Rattus norvegicus: one gene and its partner. Each later gene encodes a partner of the first gene's protein in a complex. Each region holds a gene or a part of one and is shown in the gene's direction. Other genes may lie near its edges.

Region 1 (3,600 bases):
GGGTCACCTGTTATAGGTTCTAGGCTGGTTGGAATCCTGCAGAGCCCCTAGTCCAGGCTCTTGCTTTTGTGGTCATCCCACTGTGTCCCAGCAGCATCCATCCTAGCTAGAGGAACTTGTCTCTCAACACACAGAGCCATGGGTAGCAGGGGTGGCCAGAGGGGCCTGAGGTTTGGGAGGTGACTTAATTCTGTTCCTGTGACAGACATCCTGGACTATTATGAGGCTTGCATCTTAGAGAGTCAGGTAAGGTGATGATGGTGGGTGCCTGGCTTCCTGACTGCTCAAGCTGGCAGGACTGGAGGGATGAGGACGTTCTTGCTAATTTTAAACTGAGACTTAGGGGCCTTGGCAACAAAATCCCTAGTACTGACTGAGGAGTCGGGGGCACTGACAGTGCTCTTTCTGTGGGCAGCCAGCCCTGTACCCTTTCTCCGTTCTCCCCTTTCTTGGCTTGCCCCAATTTCAGCACCAGAAAGTCCAGGTCATAATTAATTACTTTTCAGACTTCTTCCTGTGACTCCTAGGGGAGAACTAGGTCCCCAAGGTTCTCTAATGTTAGCCCCTCCCTCAGCCCCGTACCCCGTGGTGTGGCCTCCCTCCAGCACTCAACCAGCCAGGGATGCTCTCATCTCAGATGTGGGCCTTTTCCCTCTAAGGAATGAAATCCGTCCTCGTCTTTAATGTCATCATCGAGGTTAGCCAGGTCTCCATGTTTGCCGTAGGGCCTCTCTGCTTGTGCTTCTATCTCCTTTCCCATTATCCGGGTTCCTGCCAGCAGTGAAGGAGTTAACACTGCCAAGGCACCCCCCCATTCTGGCTCCTAGCTCCCTCCCTCCCTCCCCCTGCTTCCTCTCTCCTCCTCTCTCCCCTTCCCTCCTCGGCTCCGCGGCTACATCGGCCGCTGCCATCTCCAACCCCCCCCACCCCACTCCCCCGCCACGGCCCCTAGCCCCTGGCCGTTTGGCAAGACCCCCGCATACCCCGGGGCTTCCCGAAATCCAGATCCCCTCCCCCACCCCAGCTCATGCCCCAGCCCCAGAACTCCGGGGCTGCCAGCCCCCTGTGCCCCTGCCCCTCCTGAGAATCGGGGTGTGCTCCTCAAGCCCCCTCCCCTCCACTGGGGAGCCCCCTTTAGGGTCCCCCCTCCCTTCCACGCTCCCCTACCCTTCTCTTCTCCAACCTTCTCCTTCCCCTCTCACCCCTCCCCCCATCCTGGCCCCCCCTGCAAAAGTGGGGTGCGGAGGGGGGAGGGGTGAGAACCCACCGAGGGGAGGAACAAAACTCCAATGAAGTCAGAGCCCCCTACTCGCCGCCGCGGCCAGGCCCCCCAACATGGACTGTCTCTGTATAGTGACAACCAAGGTAAGCATGATGGGGGGAGCAGTGGGGAGGGGGAGTAGGTAATGAATTTGTGGAGAAGGCTTAGGTAGGCCTTATCTAGGGTTGCAGGCACTGAAGTGAGCGCATCTAAAGTAAGATGTATTAGAGGGGTCACAATTTAGTTTTGGGGTTCACATCTGAGAAAACGATGGATTTGGTCCACAGGTGCCTCCTGGAGTGATCATTTTGTACCTATAAAGAAATGGAGAATTTGATTTGGTGTTTGGGGTGTCTTGGTGGGCTCTGGTGTTCATCAGCAGTGTTTTGAGGGCAATTTATTTAAGGAGAAGCCCGCCTGCCTCACATGGGAGTTCTGCTCATATATGTGGGAAGGTGGGCTATGTGAGTGTGTTAGGGGGAGGGTTGTCTTCCTTCCTGGGCAAAAAAGCTCATTTCAAGATGCTGACCAATTGACCAATTTTGGGGGGGTGTCTCTTGGCATAAGGGTAAAGGTTACTGGTTGTGTCTGGCTTGTCTGGCTGTGTCAACTAGCAGGTAAGGGTGGGCCTTCAGGTAATAAAACATCTTGTGCTAGACATGTTTGAGATGCTCCTGATTTGAGGGAATTGTACATTTAGGGTTTAATTATGTGGAATAGAGTGAGTGACCTGGGAGTTTCCAGAGGGCTGAGGCCTGATGCAGCCTTACCTGAGAGAATGGACCAGGTGGGATTAGGATTCAGGGTACTCCCATGGGAGCTAGAAGGTTGCAAAGCTGAGGTTGTCATCTCGTAAGAAGGATGAGAGGTGTGGGGTAGGAGGATAAAAAGAAGGTAGTTGAGGAGGGGGACCATGTGGGTGGTACAAAATTTGGGGGTAGCCCAGGCAGGTGCCCACTATTCCCATCTCCCACATTTTATCTAGCCTTGGTCAAGAGAACAGAATAGCAGATGGGGAGGGGGGCTGTTACCCTGACGCTTGAGAGGACACCTGGATCTAAGGGTCTCTGAAGGCTTGTGAGGTGAAGAGGCCACTGGGGTAAAACGGTATAGAAAGAGGGCAGGGCTGGCGGAACTGGGATCCATACAGGGTACAAGGGTGTCCCTGTGGTCAGAGCCTGGAAAGAGTGGGAGATCTGGGATGAAAGCCCAAGAAGCTTAGGTCGGTCGCTTGCTCCCAGACTCTGGGACTGGCAGGCTAGATGCCTGGTGTGAGGAGGGAGGCTTGGGCGGGCGGCAGGCAGCTGGGGGTTGGGGGGTGGGACAGGAAGTGGGGGCCGGGGGAGGCGGGGTCCGGGTGAGTCACAGGCTGGGGAGGGGGTTATATTTAGTGGGAACTGCAGCTTCTTATGGAAGGAAGCTGAGGACACACATGTTCCTTGCCACAAACTCACACATGTGTATACACATGCATTGTGCACGTGTGAACATGATTAGAGATTGGGGACTGAAGATTTCAGGTCTGCATCCTTTACCCCATCTACAGGGCTGGTTGTTTTTCTCCTGGTCTGTGGATTTTGGGCTTTCTTCCAGGCTGCTGCTTCTCTTATCCCCCGTAGTTTTCAGTAGATTTTTGTGCCTCGGTTCTTCTAGCCCTCTTTCAGTCAGTGTCTGCCTGTGTTCTTTGTGCCTTCTGTCCTTAGGCCTAATCCCTGGCCTTGGCAACCTAGCTGTCATCACCTTTGTACTGATGTATATAGGAACTCATTGGAATGTGTGAGTTCTCCTTCTAACATGAACACATGAAATCCAATAAGGGTGAGGGGCTTAGTAGCACTGGTAGCTATTCTGAGTGGATGTGTCTATTCATTTCTCTGCTCCAGTTTTCAATGTGTTCGATGGAACACATGATTGAGCAACCCTGAAGGTAGGAGGCTTGCCTAGAGGATCATGTATTCAGGTCTTACTGAGGTTTGGAGACCCATGTTTGCAACATTCATTGGTCAGAAAACTTGTCAGCCTTAGATGGAGGGACTCCAACTCCCATAAGGCCTTGAGGTACAAGATCCTTCAATAGTAGAGCGTCGTGGTCCACAGGACTGTTGGGAGTTGTGGTTCCTCTCTATCCAGGCCAGTTGAGGGTGGCCCAGGAGAAACCAGCAGGGGGCACATGGCTTCTGCCCTCCGAAAATGCTGGGGAGTGGGATTGGGAGTGCTCAGCCTTTGTAGTCACTGAGCTCTCCTGGTCTGTTTGACAGCCTTCCCATTTTTCGTTGCCTATATTTATAAATTGCTGCAGTAATTTAAGGAACATTTTTGAATACTTAATATATGTTCAG
Region 2 (3,820 bases), on another chromosome or scaffold:
CTATGCCTTGATAGCCCTTGAAGTGGCTGGGCAGCTAACTGTGCCTCCCAATTTCTGTTGGAGATATTTTCAGCTCCCAGAGAAAACCGAATGAACTACATTCAAGGTTTATTTCTAAGCTCTTATCAGAGTGTGCGGGGTGACATCAAGAATGAATTAAAAATTGTTTTCCAAGGTCTTGAAAGTCAAGGGGCTCCCTTTCTCTCTTTGAATTTAAGAGTAGGGGCTGGGGTGAAATATCCGGCCATCAAACCGAGTTGTGGCCTTTAATGGTTGATCCTGTCAGAGTCAGTTGTTCCTGATGGACAGAAGAATGACAGTCGGACTGGAGACCCTCTGAAAGGAGTTTTATGAATCAGTGAAATTTATAAGACTTTGAAAGTCTCTTCCTGGAACTAAAGCTCCTCCTCCCCCATCTCTGTCTCTATTTCTATCTGCGTGTATGTGTCTATGTGTCTTTCCTCTCTGTCTCTTTTTCTCGCTACATGTCCATCATGCTCTGTGCCTCTTTCTCTGTCTGTCTTGTGTGTCTTGTTCTCTCTCTCTCTCTCTCTCTCTCTCTCTCTCTCTCTCTCTCTCTGTCTCTCTCTCTGTCTGTCTCTCTGTCTCTGTCTTTCTCTCTCTCTCTCTCTCTCTCTCTCTCTCTCTCTCTCTCTCTCTTTCTGCAGTATGTGTTTAAAGTTTAAATTTTGAGGGTCGATCTTAAGAATTTTCCCATCCCCTCTCTGTTGCCATGAATGACCTCAGTTTCCCCGAGTCCCTATACCTTATGAATCAAATTAATCACTTCTCCACCTACGCCACAGGGTCTCAGGCTCCCCTGCCAGCAGATTCCAGAATCACAAAGATTCTGGTCCAAACAGGCCCGGAGCAGTGTAACCCTGAGCACTGATTGGCTCTTCTTGGCTCCTCGTGACTCCTCCCCTCATCCCTGGTTTTGCCTAAGAGCCCGGTGCAGCCTCACCAGCTCTGGGTAGGCGCTCTGGTGCTCACTGAGGAAGCTTCCTTAGGTGTACCGATCTTAATGATTGAGCCCTTGGAGCAGCAAGATTGTTAATCTTGGTTGCTCCTTTGGCCTGTCTATCCCTTACCTTCCTATTACATATGAACTTTTCTTCGTTCTGCACATCGATTGTCGTCGGCGTCGTGGAGATCGTCGTGGTGCTCCGGTGGTGGTCTTCGTCCGCTTAGAATAGTGTAGTTAGTTAGGGGCCTTCAAAGAAGAAAGAAGAAGCGATTGGCGCGGAGATGCTGGAGGTGTCAGTTACTATGCTAGAGTAGGGTAGTGAAACAATCCCCAGCCAAACCTTTCCGGGGGGCGCAGGTTGCCCACAGGAGGTCGACTTGCCGGCGCTGTCCTTCGCGCCGAGCTCCCTCCATCCTTCTTTCCGTCTGCTGAGACGCAAGGTTGCGGCGCGCAGCGCTGAGCAGCGCACTGACTGCCGCGGGCTCCGCTGGGCGATTGCAGCCGAGTCCGTTTCTCGTCTAGCTGCCGCCGCGGCGACCTGCCTGGTCTTCCTCCCGGACGCTAGCGGTAAGTTGGAGCCCCCGGGCGACATTGCTAGCGCAGACCTTAAAGATTTGGGCGGAGGATGGGGTCGGGGAGCATGGACAGGTCCCGGATGGTTGCAGCCTGGAGGACCGCACTGGTTCGGGAAGGGTGGTGAGAAGCGACTCAGAGCGCTCAAATCGCGGGGTGGTGGGGGTCTCTGAAAGGAGACAAGAACGCAGGCTTCTGTAATGCAACCCCAGAGTCTGGAGGAGGTTGGAGGACAGCACTCGAGATGTAGGCGCTAGAGGGAGGCAAGGATCTAGAGACCCTCGCGTTCAGGGAAAGCTGTGAGAGTAAGACTGGGGTGGGGTCTCAAGAAGTAAGGGGAGGGGGAGGAGAACAGGGAAGGGTGGGAAGGAGGAGGAGTAAAACTGAACGTAGGGGTCTCTGGTCGAGGGGTTGGACTGAGAAGGGTGCAATCCAGTAGGGGGATGCTAACTGTTCACCTTATTAAGAAATCGGACTCTGACTAAGTGGGAGGGGGCTCAGGGCTCGAAGTAATGGGAGCGGGGCTGGGGGGATTGCAAATGATCTCTATTATGTTCTCGTTGAAACCGACCCTCATTTTCGGCGGGTCTCAGGGAACACTCGTAACTCTGGGAGATAACACACTGCGGATCTATGTCTTGGTCTAACAGCTGCTGGCTGAATTTGAACAGCGTTGCTGATGGTCACGTAAGTTTAAGAGGATAGTCTAAGGGTATCCGGCGAGCCTTTTTATTAGCTTCCCGAAGTCATTTTGGTGACAGTTTTATATTTTAAAAAGGACTATGGAAAAGTCTTCAAGGCTGCCTCTTATCCCGTCTCTTTGCTCAGCTTAACCTGACAAGCAGTGTTAACAGCATACCACGGAATTGCTAAACATGAACAGGTTGCTGGTTCCTGGTGCGACATAAAGTTCGTCATTGCAAAACATGTCTCTGTGTCTGTTTCTTTTCTGCGCCGAGCCCTTTGCGTCTTGCTTCCTGTTAGATGGTACTAGGTGACTAAGACACTTCACACTGTGATGGAGACAGACCCCTTATTTTAATTGACAGGCACCCACTCCAACAAACACAGCAGGCGACATTCTGCAGTTGAAGGATATTTAATTTAGTTCAGAATCACTGCCAGTGCTTGGCAGGTTCTTCATTAATATCTACCTGTGTAAATCCCATCCAAGGAAATCTTAGCTGTTTCTCTTAATGCTTATGCCCCTCACCATATACTTTGTACCATATACATTACCTTGTTCCTTGCTAAGCAAGGAAAATGTCCATTGGGGAAAATGGGATTGAACTACGATGTTGCAGGGAGGTGGGGGGGGGGGAGAAAATGTTGCGCAGTGAGTAATCTCTGCACTCCCAGTCTGTTGCAGATGATCATGACCTCACATAAAAGAGTGGTGAAAAAAAATGTGGGACCAAGACAGACTTTAAATGTTTTCATTAAGAAATTTGTATTTATAATATGCATTCATAGATACACATAAATACATATATGCATATATGTATATATAAAAATCATATACTCTGACAAACAAAACATTAATTCATTTTACATAAACTGTCACCTGGAGTCTTTACACCTGTAAGGATAATGAGAAACAGCAATTAACTTGCTCCACAGAAAATAATTTCTTCACTTCTTTTTCAGCATCTCTTTCTGTCACACACACACACACACACACACACACACACACAGGCACGAGCATGCACATACCCACACACACAGGCACACACACAGGCACACACACAGGCACACACACACACACACGAACGTGCAAGGTCACACACACACAGGCACGCGTGTGCACATACCCACACACACAGGCATACACACACACACACACACACACACACACACTGGCCTTTAAGAGGAATATAATTTTTGGCACCTTTCTTTTGGGAAATCAACTATAGCTCTCAACCCCACCCTATAGCAAGTAGATCATAGGATTTTCATTCGGTAAACTTGTTTTTCTGGTCCTTTGGGAATGTGAAAAAAAATACTTGCAATGTGCACATAATTTCTCTCCCAATAGCACCTATCATCTACAGAAGTAAGCCCAACTCAAGTAAGTCCTGAAAGTCAGAAGGTGAATAAAGCTTGTGGTTTCAATGTCAAGGTAGGATTTGGGGTATTTAGACTTTTTCTATCTGCAAAATAGAGAGAGACCTGTTAACCCTTTCTCTGTTGTCATTTGGGTTTTTCCTGCCATGTAGAGTCATAATGGATAACAGTGATGACTTTTTCAGGTAATATCACGACAGGCTTTGGTGCAGTATG

What was found.
Region 2: the proteins of Dlg4 (region 1) and Htr2c are in contact, whole or in part, in an NMR structure (PDB 2MHO), measured with the Rattus norvegicus proteins. Residues at the interface, in NP_062567.1 of Rattus norvegicus: Gly74, Leu75, Phe77, Ser78, Ile79, Ala80, Asn85, Pro86, His87, Ile88, Thr97, Lys98, His130, Val134, Leu137, Lys138; in NP_036897.2 of Rattus norvegicus: Val452, Val453, Ser454, Glu455, Arg456, Ile457, Ser459, Val460.

What each region holds. Positions count from the first base shown.
Region 1 is NC_086028.1:55,238,505-55,242,104, forward strand, and holds the start of Dlg4 (disks large homolog 4), read left to right. Parts: upstream 1-1,279; 5' UTR 1,280-1,335; coding exon 1,336-1,365; intron 1,366-3,600. UniProt on the Homo sapiens protein: Postsynaptic scaffolding protein that plays a critical role in synaptogenesis and synaptic plasticity by providing a platform for the postsynaptic clustering of crucial synaptic proteins.
Region 2 is NC_086039.1:115,451,871-115,455,690, forward strand, and holds the start of Htr2c (5-hydroxytryptamine receptor 2C precursor), read left to right. Parts: upstream 1-1,319; 5' UTR 1,320-1,534; intron 1,535-3,820. UniProt on the Homo sapiens protein: G-protein coupled receptor for 5-hydroxytryptamine (serotonin).